2 linked regions of the Lonchura striata genome follow. The protein of the gene in region 1 binds, or shares a complex with, the protein of each later gene. Links are inferred from orthologs where the notes say so. Each region holds a gene or a part of one and is shown on either strand. Other genes may lie near its edges. The genes, in order: YWHAB and MLXIPL.

Evidence for each region.
Region 2: the proteins of YWHAB (region 1) and MLXIPL are in contact, whole or in part, in a crystal structure (PDB 6YGJ), measured with the Homo sapiens proteins. The link is inferred for Lonchura striata from reciprocal best matches to the Homo sapiens genes YWHAB and MLXIPL. Residues at the interface, in NP_003395.1 of Homo sapiens: Gly55, Arg58, Ser59, Trp61, Arg62, Ser65, Ser66, Gln69, Lys70, Arg129, Val178, Tyr181, Glu182, Asn185, Leu218, Gln221, Leu222, Asp225, Asn226, Leu229, Trp230; in NP_116569.1 of Homo sapiens: Asp118, Ile120, Arg121, Asn124, Ala125, Trp127, Arg128, Ala129, Trp130, Tyr131, Ile132, Tyr134.

What each region holds. Positions count from the first base shown.
Region 1 is NC_134619.1:9,246,187-9,253,520, forward strand, and holds the start of YWHAB (14-3-3 protein beta/alpha), read left to right. Parts: upstream 1-4,093; 5' UTR 4,094-4,208; intron 4,209-7,334. UniProt on the Homo sapiens protein: Adapter protein implicated in the regulation of a large spectrum of both general and specialized signaling pathways. Binds to a large number of partners, usually by recognition of a phosphoserine or phosphothreonine motif.
Region 2 is NC_134622.1:811,275-818,887, reverse strand, and holds the start of MLXIPL (carbohydrate-responsive element-binding protein), read left to right. Parts: upstream 1-4,358; 5' UTR 4,359-4,688; coding exon 4,689-4,990; intron 4,991-7,613. UniProt on the Homo sapiens protein: Binds DNA as a heterodimer with MLX/TCFL4 and activates transcription. Binds to the canonical E box sequence 5'-CACGTG-3'. Plays a role in transcriptional activation of glycolytic target genes. Involved in glucose-responsive gene regulation.

The sequences.
Region 1 (7,334 bases):
GGCACCAGAAGTACACAACGACTCTCCAGGTCCCAACAGCTACAAAAATTTACAGCAATATATTCCATTCCATTTCTGCTTGTTTTTTTTGCACTGCCACTTTTTATGAGCAGAACATAAATTACCTGAGTTTAATTCATGACCCAGAGTTCAGTGCATTTCCCCAGAAATAGCATTCTCTGTTTGGGGCACTACTGCCAAAATTGCATTCCTGGAGCTGAATTCCTATCCCATCCAAGACGTTTGTTCCAACCACATTTCCCATCATACTATTTTATACTATTTAGGTCATTTATATTTTCATGCTCCCACAGTTACTTCTTATAAGTTGCTTTGCAATTATGCTCTTAACTGTGTTCTCCAAAGTCACCTTCAGACCTTTAAACACCTTAAAATTAAAACACCAATTTGACTTTTGCCCAAATCGCATTTCATAGAGAAGTTGAACTAAACTACTTGCATTCCTTGGACAGAAGGAAGGACTGAAAGTTGCCCAACAAAGTATTACTTAGTCTAGCATTTAGTTGGCAGGGACCATGAGGAAAACCTGATGCTCTTTGCTTTAAATGTTGCTTTAATTAAACTTATTAATAGTTCTATCCTATGCAAGATGTTTATGCCTGAGCCCAGTTTAGTTGTAATTTTAGTTCTAACTAACCTAATTCTAGTTTTAACTTCATCACAGTAGTCTATAATGTCACAAGCAGCTTATGCACAGAGAAAGTACAAGATGTTTTGCAGAAGTTTTTACCTTGGAGCTTTTAAAAATTTCCTATTGCAGAAATACTAATTTAAAAGTACTGTTTTGCTCTTTCATGTTCCTTGTTTCTTCCTTACAAATCTCCTTCTTAGGACCATCATGTGCAATTCAAAGTACACCACAACCAGCATTGACAAATGATGAAATTCTTAATTTACTGATGAGACTTCTGGTGGACATCCCAGCTGTCAGCTCCAGCAGGTCAGTTCTGTCAGCTGCCATAAACCGCTGCACCAGTTCCATGCAGGATCCATCACCTAATCCACTATTTAGTGATCTGTGAGATCCAGCTCTAGAACAATTGAAGTATCCAGGCTGTACACTCTCATACACAGAGCGGAAGATTGGGAAAATGAGTACCAAAGCAATCAAGAAATAAAATATACTTAATAGGTGGCGATTACATTTTGTGAGTGTCTTTCCTACAGCATGGAAATGAAACACCCTCGTTTTTCACTCGGTCAGGCTGCAGGGAGACATCAGCTGCAGGGACAGCGATCATGCAGTGCCATCAACTGTTTGCTTCTGGTACCCACAGCAGCTGAGACCTACTACTTTCAACACAAATGACCAAAAACAAACAAACAAAAAAAAAATCACAAAAATTGAGCGACTCGTCAGGATGGCATTTCTGAACAAAGGTTTGTCCACTTGTTCTAGTACAAATCTCAGGTTCGTTTTTCCTGTACCAGAAGCCGCACACCTGAGGGCAGGTACAGAGACTGGAGCAGCTCGAGCTCTTGTGCCATCTGCTGGGAACAGCTTCTGACATTGCTGCTCGCACAGGAATAGAGCCAGCCCTCCCTGTTTGGCAACTGACATCTTTGTCAAAAAGCTTATTACACTTCTTTTACCTGCTATTGATGTTAAGTACTAACTTAGTGCAAGAGAAGTGGTTTGGAGATGGAAACTCGCTCTCTATAGTGAATCAGTTGCACAAGACAGGAACAAACTGTCCTTGCAGCCCTGCAGAGCCTCCTTTGAAGGATGAAGCCTGTGGTGTATCCAGGGTAGGGCTTTGGTCTCACAGTCCTTGTAAAGAACCACTCCTTCAGCAAAGGGACTCCACCTCAGCCATGAGCTGTATCCTCTTTCACACCAAATCCTGTGATTTCCTCCCTTCTGGATTTACGGTCTGTGAGGCTGTAGCTCAGTGTGAGCACTCTTAGGGCAGCTGCTCTGTGCTCCCCAGGGCAGTAACAGGTTAACGCTGACCAGCAGCTAAAGCCAAATTCCATTTAGACCTCACACTTACCTACCTGAAATGTGGCTCTTTGGAAAAACACACAACAGGACATTTTCTGCTGGAGAGCCAGGCAAGCTGGTCTCTCTGTTGTGCTTGTTTCCTCATGGATCCAGCCTGTCCCTGAGATAATGGCTGTTCTTGCACAGATTGGGTATCTCAGATTCTTTGAGCCAATGTGCACTTCCTCCTCTGAAGGGTGACACATTGAACCACTTGCTGCTGGTGCAAGCTTTTCCAGAGTTGAGGTTTGGTGTTGGTTCCAGCCTTCACCATCCCTGGAGGAACTGCAGGGTGCCCTGCTTATCTCTAGCACCAGACCAGGCACAGGACTGGGAAGCCCCCAGGGTAGGAAAAGCTCAAGGAGGAATATCTGTATCATTAACACATTTCTGTCTCGGTGGCCTCTGGCCCAGCAGGGACACAGCTGCAGGAGCTCTGTGACAGCAGAGGGTGATGCTTCACCTCTCTGACTACACAGTATAGAATTGCCCTACCTGGATGGTGTGGTGGAGATTGCATGGTCCAAAAATAGCAGTTGAGAAGGATTGAGTGCTGCATTTCAGCGGTGATGATGAGAATTTTGTGTGGACAAATTGGAGGAGCTGTATGAAAGGAGCTCAGTGCACCTCACTGGAAGAGGCATGAGCTGTGACAACACAGGTAGGAAGAGGAGAAGGGTGAAGAAGGCACAGTGGAAGTCCAAATGAACAGGTGTTGACAGCACACCTCTGCAAACTGAGTATGATACACAGATATGGAGGCAAGGAATGTCAAAACCAAGTAATTCTGCCATGAATCAGCACCTTCAAGGCCTCAGCAAGAACACTGGGAATGGCCCAAATGGAAACTGAGAAGATAAGGACTATGGAGAGGATCAGGGGTAAAAAACAAGTTTTGCCTCAAAAAGAAAAAAGAGAGTGATGACAGCAACTAATGGAGCTGAATCAGTGTTTGCAGCTTAAGATAACTCGTGGGTGCCAAGTAATTTTCCTTCTGAGTTTCCAAAGTAATTAACCTTTGGACTGAGATTAAGCAGGAAATTAATGAAGTCCTTCCATCACCAAAAAGGAATCTGACAGTGACTTTGATGGGCCCAGGACTGTATCTGAAAGTAGAAGAGAAAATTGGACTCCAGAATGCTGTAATTGAACCGAGTCCAAATAATAACACTTTGACAAGTGTTGCTGCCATAAATTTGAGATCTGGGTGCAGTGCAATTGAGTTGTGTGTCCTGTCACTTCTTATCCAAAAGGATTATACGGATTACAAAACTGAACTCTTTTACTTGGATTCCTTTTTGGACACCAAGCTAGACTTCTCCTCATGCCCCAAAAATGTTCTCTTTTGCCATTTCCTTAGAAAAATGCAGTTTGTAAGTTGCATGAATCTTATCTAGCCAGTATGGATCTTGATTTTTCAGTGAAAACTGAAGTTGTAGGGAAGAGCTGCTACTAAAACAGCATTTAAAGGTGATTTTGCAATTCAAAGCATTTGTCAGGTTTTATTTCTGAGGGTGCAGAGAATAACCACACTGCCTGTTTTCCGAGATGTCCGATATATATCCCTTCGGAACGGTCTGCTCAGGGAGGCGGCAGAGTCACTGTCCCCGGTGGTGTGTAAGACCGGGTGCAGCGCCATGCTCTAAGCGGGGTGGAAGCGTTCAGTCATAGATCGGTGATTTTAGACGGCTTTATCCAACCTAATCAATTCTGTGATTCTATCACTTCTACTGTGAGGTCCAGCCAAAGAACAGCAGTGCGAAACGACAAGAAAACCAGAAACCGTTCCTTTTGTTGCCGGAGAAGCTGCTGCACTTGCAGGCCGCAGCACCCCTCCCCTGGACCCCCACCGGGGAGCTCCGCGGAGACAAAGAGCGCGCAGCGCGGCGGCTGCGGGGTGTGAGCGCAGCACGGGCCGTGTCTCGGGGGCTCTCCCCGCTCGGGGCGCGCTCGCACGGCAGCGCCGGGCCCCGCTCGGCCCCGCTCAGCCCGGCGCAGCCCCGGGGCCGGGCCGGGCCGGGCCCCGTCGCCATGGCGACCGTCCCGCCGGGGCGGCGCGCGGGCGGTGGCGCCCCCTGGCGCCGGAAGGGGCGTGCCGCGCGGCGGAAGCGGGCCGAGCGCCGCAGGGTGTGTGCGCGTGTCCGTGGAGCGGCCGCCGCTGCCGTCGCCTCCCTCCGCCCGTGGGATCCGCGCGCGCCGCCAGGTGAGGGCCGCGGCCGGGGCGGGCATCGGCGTGGGGGGATCGGCACCGCGACCCCGGGGCAGCCCGCCCCGGCCTGCCCCCGCTCCGCTCCGCTCCGCTCCGCCCCGCGCGGGCAGCCGCAGGCCGCGGCGGGCGCGCCGTGCGGGGGTCTCCGCGGGAGGGTCCCCGGTTCTGCCTCCCCGCTCCTGCGTCCCCCGGCCCGGGTAACGGCGTGACCCTCGCCCGGCGGGCGCGGGCGGGCGGCGCCGCCCCTCCCCGGGCGGCCGCGCCGCCCCGCCCCGGTGAGTCACTGGCGGCCCGGGGCGCGGCCGCGCTCACCTGGGCCCGCCCGGCGGGACGGGCCCGCGGCGAGCCCCGCCGGGAGCGGCGCTGCCCGAGCCAGCGGCGCTGCCCGGGGCCAGCCCGCACCGCCGGGCCGGCCTCCGGCCGCCCAGCGCCGGCAGCTCCGTGCCCAGCCGGAGAGCGCAGCTGCCGTGCCCGTGCCCGCGGCTCTGAGCCGGCCCGCGTAGGTGGTCGTGGCCGTGTAGGAGCGCTTTAGAAGGGAATAAAACCCGTTTATTATTTTCCAGTTTTGATCATTCGTGTCCATTTGGGAATAGAGATGCGTTTAGGGAGGACTCCACAGGGAAAGAAGGTTGGTTCAGTCCCAGCGTACAGAAAGGCTGGGCAGTAGCCCAGATCTAACGGGTTTGGGTTTTGTTTGAGGTATGTATAACCAGGTATTAATTGGGATGTTAAAATAACAGTGACATGCAATCACTGTATTGGCATCAATGCATCTCATGCAAAGAACACAATATAAATTGGTTGCTTTCAGATAGATTCCTTATTAATAGTTAAAACACATTTTCCACTGATAGGAGAACAAAAGACACATCATACAGCACCATAAAAGCTAAATTCCCATGGAAGAACATCAGAGGCTTTGGCGGTGTTTGTAATGTTTAGTATCTTCAGTGGCTGTAGGAATATTTGTGTATTCACATGTTCACTAACTCAGGACACCTCAGTCAGAAATTGTAACACTTTTAATATGAAAAAAGATGAGCTTATTTTAATTTTAAAGCAATAATGAGATAAAATCTGGTCTAGAAAAGAAAACAAGAACACAAGTGCCTTTTTCTCCCTTCATATTAAAGGACTGCAGAAATATCCCTTGTATCATATTTTGTTTATTAAATTGGTACCAATAAAGTGATAGACTCCTTGCACAGATGGGCCTGGTGCAGTTTTCTCAACCTCATTATGTCAGTACCGCATGTTCTGATCTCCGCTATTTTGATGTTGAGTCGTTTTATTTTTTCCCGAGCAGGCCTGTGCCAGTATGCAGCTTTTTGTGATGCATGTGAATAAACTCGGATGAGGAGGAGCTCACTAAATAATTATTTGGTTAATGAGGTAAAAGCTCCTACTCTGATCCGTGTGGTATCCTAATACCAGGCATTACAGTAGTGTGTCTATTATATGGCCACATTCCTTGCCCCACCCTGTAATACAAATACTGTCAGTTTATTATTAACAAAAGTGATTTACCTGTGATATGAATACATTATTTTGGCGTGAACTTTATGCCCGGGGGAAGATTTTTTGGGTATAGTCACAATTTCCACCTGGATTTGAGCCAAAAACAGTTCTGCTGGTTGGAACAAAAAGGTGTTGCCATGTGGGGATGTTGTGCTGTGGAAGTGCCAGCATGTCTCCACCTGCAGCTGTACTGAGCAAAGGGCCATAGGCAGGAGCAGAGCTCTGCTTTTCAGCCTGGCATTAGGAAGAACAAGGCTGCTTTCACTAAATTTAAGATGTCTGTACAATATCAGTGTCCCCACGTGCTGTTGGTAGTGGTCATAGGCATTTTGTAATACTCTATGGAGAGTGAATGCCATTGAATGTCATTTTATTCAATTTTACGAAGCAACAAGTAATGATGGCAGCAGATGGCCGGAGCAGGGTGAGGCATGGCTTTATAGAATGTTAATTTTATCTCAGCATTTGCATAGAGACTTGAGCCGAAGGCCAGAGTAGATGCAGAGGAGGCTGAAGTTATGTGCTGCACAAGGTCAGCAAGAATATCACAGCTGTGAAGTCATGTTCCTTCATTATGTTTGCAGGATATTTTACTGAACTTGTTATACCCAAGCTTCTGATGGGAAGATTTTGCTGTTCAGATCTTAACAGAGCTATTCATTTTCAAACATCCCATGGTAGCCTTTGAGGAAACCATCTAGAGAAACACAACTAATAAAATCAAATGCATAATGCTACAGGAAAGCAAGGAAGGTTCCTTACACTCAACTGAAAGAGCTGCACTCCGTTTCCTGTAAAAAAATAAATGTTGGAAGCACTGTCCAGTTGACAGGGAATGCCATCCCCATCATGCAGATACTCGTGTTAGCATGTGTGTACCTGAATGGTGGAGAATGATTTTCTGTTTATTTTAGAAATAATGTCCCCAGAGCTCTTACTCTCTGTAGTTACAGAACTGTAATTTGAGGTACCACTCACCTCACGTGAATGTTTATTTTCAGAATGAATTGCCTGTCCAGAAATCAAATAAGGTGTGTTCACATATTGTTGGAATATTGAACTGCAAATTCTGTACCAGTCTGCTGCTTTTTCTGGTAGAATTTGAGTGGACTTAGAGAGCTTATGACTGGGAAGTATGATTCCCTCCCATTTCACCAAACCTTGTTTTGTATTCTTGTCTCACAGTGAAATATGCAAGTCTGTTAACTTGCAGCTCTGCTCAACATGTTAGTGACCAGTATGTCAAACCAATAACTACACTGCTTTCTCACCAGTTCTTTTCTACAAAGTGGAAGTGTTTGTCTGATAGATTCTCATGCTTGCTGTAGAGAGAAAAACAGTGCACAAAAATCGATGACTTAATTAGCATCAGAAGAACAGGTCATCAAGAGCAGCAGACTTCAGACCAACATAAGCTTATTAGAATTGTCCTGTCAGTTCGATATGTTATATAAGCCAGATTATTTTCAGTGTCAGTTTTCATTTGATTTTTACAGACTTTTTAAGCACAGTTAGTTCTGATTAGTTTTGGCTTTGTCCTAAAGGGCCCATAGGAACGGGAACCAATAAAGGCTACAGAGCAGATGGAATAAGTGCTAAGGA
Region 2 (7,613 bases), on another chromosome or scaffold:
CCATCTGTCCTTGTGAGACCCCAGCTGTAGATGTTCTCAGTTCAATCAGAGAGAAAAGAGAGAATTCTCCCAGGCCTAGCCTGGGAAAGTTATGAGAAGGAATGAAAGCAATTATCTCTCTTTCTGTTCATGCTGTTTATAGATATGTTCTATCACAGTGTGCTATTCATAGTGCACCAATGGTGTGAAAAGTTTTCACTTTGAGACCAATCATATTTCACCTTAGCAATCCTGGTTATCAAAGGAACATTACTTCCTGCTAATAAAGATTATTCTTCTTTAAGCCTTCTGAACACCATGGCGTCTTTTCATCCCATCCCTGACTCAAAAGCAGGCACCCACCTGCAGAGCTGCCTCCAGCTCTGGGGTCCCAGCACAGGAAAGATATGAAGCTGCTGAAGCAAGTCCAGAGGTGGTCACTGAGATGCTCCAAGGGCTGGAGCCTCTCTACTCTGGAGACAGGTTGGGAGAGCTGAGGGTGTCCAGCCTGGGAAAGAGACCTTTGATCCTCTTCCAGTGCTTAAAGATGTGGAAGTCCAGAGCTTCCCTCTGGCTGCCCTGGCAGGTCTGCGACCCTGGCAGGGGTCAGGAACCCCCCTGGACAGAGCCCCCAGAGACACTGTCTGTGATCTCTGTCCATGGAAAAGAGTTTTCAATCTTACAGGATGAATTACCAGCTCTGAGTGTTTGATATAAGTAATAATTAAGTGTGGCATGGGTGCAAAAGTAAAATTTTAGGATTCTAGATTAGGGGTTCAAAGGGGACAAGATGGAGGAAATTGGGTGTGTCTTGTCCTTTTTCTCCTTCTTCATGCCCTCCATGTGTCACTGTGGTGTTGGCATTTTTCTGTTGGTTCAGGCTGGGGACACACTGTCCAACGTAGGTGACAGATATTGGCACGTTATTGTAAATCCAGCCCAGGGAGTTTCTGGTATTTAATGTTTGTAACATCCCTCTGAGGGCAGAGCCCCACATGCTGCCCTGCAGGACAGAGCTGGGCAGGGCAGCAGAACATGATAGAGATAAACAGAATAAACAACCTGGAAACCAGCACAGACAAATTATGACTTCTTTGGCAACAGGGCTGACAGAGACTTTCTACAATCTTGGAATCATCAATACCACAGATTCCAACAAAAGAGTCGCCAGGAGAGATGAAGAGAAACTTTGAACAAGCCCCTGGAGTAACAGGACAAGGGGGAATGGCTTCCCACTGCCAGAGGGCAGAGTTAGATGGGATATTGAGAAGAAGTTCTTTCCTGTGAGCATAGTGAGGCCCTGGCACAGGGTGCCCAGAGAAGCTGCCCCATCCCTGGAAGTATTCCAGGCCAGGTTGAACTGGGCTTGGAGCAACCTGGTGTAGTGGAAGGTGTTTCCTGGCCATGGCAGTAGGGCTGGAATGAAATATGTTTAAGATCCCTTGCAACCCAAACAATTCCACGATTTTTTGAAGTGATACCTCACTTTTCGTAGAAGCTCCAAGGTTGCTGTGTGGCCTCAGGCTTCTCTTGCTCTCTCCAGGGAGGTTCAGCTTGTCCCACAGTAACAGAGATGAAGTCTAATGAGCCCACCCTCTCCAGCAGACTCTGCTTTCTGGGCAAACAACCTGGCATGCATCACCATCATGAAACCCACTTAAAATGCAATGTCAGTGTGAAAAGAAGGGATTTGAGAAGTGCAATATCACCATTACATTTCTGCTGGTCCCCAGAGGGTGCTCTTGCCCAGGTTTTGCCAGGCAGCTTCCTGTGGGAAGGATGTCTGGCAGACAAGGAGAGCCCAGAAATATTCTATGAGGAGTCTAGCTGCAGGCTGAAGGCTGCAGTTCTCTTTTCTATGTTCCTTACTCTGTCCTGCTACTGCATGGAGTGTTAAGCTCCTGTCAGCACCAGCTGTTCACAGAGGGAATGTGAGCAAGACCATCCAAGGAAAAAAGCATCAAGAACCTCATTGCATAGATATTGAATCATGGACTTACAGAATTATTTGGGATCTTAAAGCTCATCTGGTTCCATCCCTCTGCCATGGGCAGGGACACCTTCCACTAGACCAGGTTTCTCCAAGCTCTGAGTTCCCATCAGTCAGCTTTGCTTTGGACACAGAAAGAATTTTAATGGTTACAGTCCTCCATCAGTTTATCCAATTCCTTATTAAGTCTGATTGGACTTTTAGTTTCACAAAATCCTGAGATGAACATGCCAGCACTTCCTTTGCCTGGTGCCCTCAGAAACACAGAATCACAGAATAGTCAGAGTTCAAAGGGACCTCTGGAGATCATCCATTCCAAGCTCCAGCTCTGAAAAGTGATGAATAATCACCTATAATCATTCCCTGTTCCTCCTATACCCATGTCTACACTGTCAGTGCCTTTTACCTGATTCACATCTTTCCTAACAGTCCTGATCCTTTTTCTTGCAAGGATGCCATTCACACTTCTGACCACCCATTTTCTTCATCTTTGTGACCTTTTCCGGTGTTTCTCCAAATTTTCTCAGCCAGGCACCAAAGCCACACACACTTGTGAGCTTGCTTTATATGGGGGCAAGCAATATTTTCCTTGCAATATCTGGAGCCTTTTTTACTTTTTAATTACTCATGAACTTTCAGCTGATGTTTTCAGGGAACTGCTTGCAGTTACCTTCAGCTCTTGACTGGCATTAATCTAGAGTCCCCCAGTGTACAGTGAAGGATATGCTTCACTATACCCTTATCAACATTGATTCTCATTTCCAATGGCATCAAACATTTTAGGATCCAAACAGCCTTTTACAAAATTCCTCATCTCTGCAGCCTACCTGCCCCTGTGTCAGACTCCTGCTCTGCTCCCTGGTTGACTAAGGTTCTGTCACCTCATGGGATTTCCCTCCTCTGCAGCACAAGAGCTGCTGGACCAGCAATGAAGGATTTGTGATGTTCATAAAGGCCTCACTTGATGTGCTTCTCTGTTTCCCTCAAATAGATGTTATCCCAGAGGACTGAAGTCTGCCTGGGACTGGTGAACAGATGGCAAATGTTTTTGGTCAAAATTCTGGGAAGTGCCTTTTGCACAACATGAGTGGAATGTGCCCAGAAAGCCTCTGTATCTCTGACATGTTTGTTTCTTTGTGCCTTGCCTAATTCTTAGTTTCCCAGGACATTCACATGCCCATTACTGCTTTAAAATGTATACAGATGGTACTTTTAAAATTACTTCTCTATTCAACATCATGACAGGCAGCTTGGGACATGCTGAAGTGTTTGTAATGGATCACAGAGGGGAAAAAAAGCTACAGACCCACAGAAATCTGGCTGGAAAATGAAGACATGGTTCTCAAGTGAAGAAATGGTCTGAAAGGGAGGGTTGCACCAACCAGTGTAGAAGCTGTCCAAACCAGCTTTTTGTGTTTATTCTTCTTCTAGCTCTGGAAAATACCCTGGATAGCTGCTGACCCTTCTTGGACTTACCTGGGTGGTATGGAAAGTATTCAGCTCCATCTACAAACTGGATGCCTGCAGCTGTCTATTCTGAGTTTATCCCACCCATTTATATTGTATTTCCACTGGAGGTACCTAAGATCTCTGCCTGGGTGCTTTCCAGGCATGTGTGCTCCTTCCAGGATGTGGGGCTGGGAAAGAATTTGCCAGAAACTAGAAACCTCAGAGGTGAAGGCAATCCAGGGTGGATTTAGAGTGGATATTAGGAAAAAATTATTTCCTGTGAGGGTGGTGAAGTCTGAGCACAAGTTGCCCAGAAAAGCTGTGGCTGCCTCATCCCTGGAAGTACTCTGGGCTAGGTTGACAGGTCTTTGAGCAACTTGTTCTTGTGGAAGGTGTCCCTAGTCTAGTGGAAGGGTAGTGGAATGAGTTGAGTTTTAAGGTCCCTTCCAACACAAATCATTCTAGGATTTGATGAGTCTTTGATTTTTACATGACAACAAGATGTGTAAATCCCACCATACCCAAACTCGTATCTGTTCTCTCTCACATTTGTTGTTTGTATCTCCTCTCCTGCTGGATCTCCGCTTGGAGCAGGCTTTCCTGGGGCTGTTTCTCAGCTCGGCACTTGGCTCAGTGCCTTGGCTTGCCTTGTGCTGAACAGAGTGCCCGTTGCTATAATTTTACCTGTTTGTGTCCCTTAATCTGTATTTGTTCCCTTGAAAGTGCAGGGAGATCCATTAAAGCAAGGCACTGGGTAAATACCGCCTGCTCCTCACTCCACCAGCACCCAGGATCAGTGATTAACTCCAGGTAAACAGAGCCGACCGCCAGCCAACCCTTGGCCACAGCAACGGGGGGACAGGGGACCTGCAGTGCCCCGCCCCAGGTGTGTGGGGGATGTAAAAGCTGGGATTGTTAGGACACTGCTGGAGCAGGACAGTGGCATGGAGCTGAAGCTCTGGTGCTTGGTGGCCACCAGATGTGTCCTGCTGAAGGCCTGCCATGGGCGGGATCAGCCAGCAGCGCCATAAATAGGGCTGGCAGTGCATCAGCCCTGGGGAACCAACCGCTGAACCCTGGAGCAAGGAACAGATGGTGCTGTGGGCCGGCTGGAGGAGGTGCCTAGCAGGAGGCGTGGTGCCAGTGTTCTGTACTGGGGAGCTCAGCATGTGCTCGATGCCAATGGAGTGTCTGTAGGGCTTCAGCTCAACGGGGACACGGATCACAGTGCCGGGTCAGATCCATCAGGGTTCCCCAGTAGGCAGCAGGAATGGCAGGAACTCAGGTGGGACTACCGGGACCATTCCTGGAGCCTCCGGTTGGGCCTTGCCCCGTCTCCGACTCTGACTCTGACTCAGACTCAGAGGACACGGCTGTGGGTGGCACAGGACCCAGTGCTGCAGCACAGAACTACTCCCAGGTCATCCACAGTGGCCACTTCATGGTGTCGTGCCCGCACAGCGACTCGCTACCCCGGCGGCGGCACCACCGTGCCGAGCCCGAGCTGGCTGATCCCCGGAGTATTGACCCAACCCTCACCCGGCTCTTTGAGTGCATGAGCCTGGAGTACAGGTGAGTCCTAGAGCCCTTGTGTGTGTCTTACAGACCCCCAGCTGGCTGAAGGCAGGAGGCTAGCTGAGCCCCCCCGTTCCCCAGCCAGGAATTTTTTTCCATCTGACCTCCTCCTCCTCTTTTTCATGGGCTGTGATGTGTCATATGCTCAGAAATTGCCATCCTGGAAAGTTTCAGGGAGAGAGAGCTGATGCTGGGTTGTTGGCTGCAGAGCCAAGTGAGAAGCTTCTCTGTTCCACATGTATCTTGACTTTTCTCCATTTTTGCATGAGATCAGGCGTCACTGTGTCCAGCTGTATTTCCTCCATGGCCAGACCTAGCACACTCTGTAGAGCAGCAGTGACTCTGTGGACAGCTAACACTCAGTTGTTTGGCAGTCCAGCCCAGAGCAGTCCTGCCTTCTGTCCTTGGCTCTATCCCCATGTCCTGAGGTTATTCCATGATATGCAGTAGCACTTGGGACTGGATGGCTGCATGGCTTTTATCCAAGGTCTCCTGAAAGCTTTCCTCCTTCTCTCCTGCAAAATCAGATGGGTGCCTGCATTGTTCCCCTGCTGTACAAATTGCCAAAGCCCAGTGGCAGCTCTTTGGTGACAGCAGGACAGAGTGCAGTGTGTCTCTTATGGCCACAGTCCACATTTTTGGAGGCAGCTCCCCTCCTTTGCCAAGCCCCGAGGTTTTGAGTTCTCTCCAGCACGGCATCAGCATGGAGTCAGTGCCACACCACTTGTATAGCTCTCCCAAGATGTCCAAATGTGAAAACCTAGATGATGATGTTCTACCACGTGAAAGCAAAACCTCAGCAAAGCAGCCTTGAAGAGGTGCCCATTACCTCATCCAGGATCTCATCCAGTGACTGAGCTCTCTGGTTTGCCTTGGAGTCCTCAAGTGCTCAATGCAATAGGGAATGTGGTCACTGCCAGGGCATCCTTGGCACAGAGGGTACCAGTTCCCGCATGGCTGTGTACATCTGACCCTTGATCATATCCCAAGAGATGGATGGAATCATCCCAGTTTGCCAGCAGCCAGCACAGCATAGCAGTGCTCTCTGGGATCACAGGGAGCCTCAGCATGGGGTAACCCAGGTAAGGATCATGCTTCCTGGCTGGGCAGGTCACTCCTGAGTGCCACAAACAAGGGTCATAGAAACACTGGTGGCCTCGCTGCCTTTTCTTCTCCCAGCCCCATTCTTTCCATACTGAGCCCTGCAGATTTGAGGCTGGAGAAACAGACACTGTCACACCAGGGTGCTCAAACTGTAGACTCATGAGGTGCAAGGAAGCTTCAGTGTGCCCCTGGGCTCAGGAGCTCCCAGGCAGAGTGGAAACAGACAGGGTACAAGGGCTTTGACAACTGGAGTACTGTGTGTAACTGGGGGCTGGCCATTCCACTGCAGTCAGGGTTCTATTGCTCCAGTTTTCCCCACTACCTGGAATCTCAGTGGCTCATTTCCTTCCTGCACTGAGCATGGCAGTGCAGATACTGGCTCCTATGTAATGGGATGCTCACCCAAGCCTTGTCCAGCCTGGCCTTGGACAATTCCAGGGATGGGGCAGCCTGTGCTGGGATCTCACCACCCTCATAGGGAAGAATTTCTTCCCAATATCCCATCTAGTCCTGTCCTCTGACATTGTGAAATCATCCCCCCTTTTCCTGTCACTCCAGGCCCTTGACCAAAATCCCTCTCCAGCTCTCTTGGATCCTCTTTAAGCACTGGGAGGGGTTCTAAGGTCTCTAAGGTTGTCCAGGCTGGACAACCCCAGCTCTCTTAGCTTTTCTTTTGCTAATAATTTTTTTACACTCTTGTAGGCAGCAGCTAGAGAAAGGTATCAGGGTGGAATAATGGAGTTAAGTGTTCTTGGTGCATTTCTACATTTAGTGTTGTCTGATTTGATACTGGTCTGCATCACCTGTCATTTCACACTTCCCCTCCCATCCAGGTTCCCAGAGGCAGAACAGCCTCAGTTGGGGTCACCAGCCCAGTATCCTCCAGCCCTCAGGAGAGCACCCACAGTTAAGCTCAGACTAAATTCCTAACCAAGGAGAAACCACTGTAAGCTGTCACCTGGGAGGCACCTGTGGATTTCATCATGCAACTCTCATGCAGGGCAGGGCTAGATCCAAAGCCAAGTCAGGTTGCTCAGAGCCATTACTTTGACAGATGGAGCCCTAGGATGTGACCTCACCATCTGTCCAGCCTGCTCAGGGCTGCTCCTCTCCCCTAGGGAATTGCTGTCTGTGGCTGTAGTTTGGAGTTTCCCTGTTCCAATTCTTAGGTCTGTTTCCCCTTGGCCTTTCTCAGTGTATGATTGAGAACTGTCTGGCTCCATCTCCTCCTTAGGGCAGCTGATGGCAGTAATTCTCTCTTCACCTTCTGCAGGCTGAACAAACCCATCCCTCACAGTCCTCTTCTGTCATATATGTTAGTCCCCAGCCACCTTGATAGTCTCCTCCAGGATCACTCCAGTTTGTATACCTCCCTCTCTGTCCACTGGACACAATGTCCAGGCTTGGCCATAGCAGTGTGGAGCAGAGGGGAAAACCATCCTGTCTCCTGGTGAGCTGTGCCTGCTGCATCCATTGCTGTCTGGGCTCACACCATTTCAAAGGTAACTCACTAAAC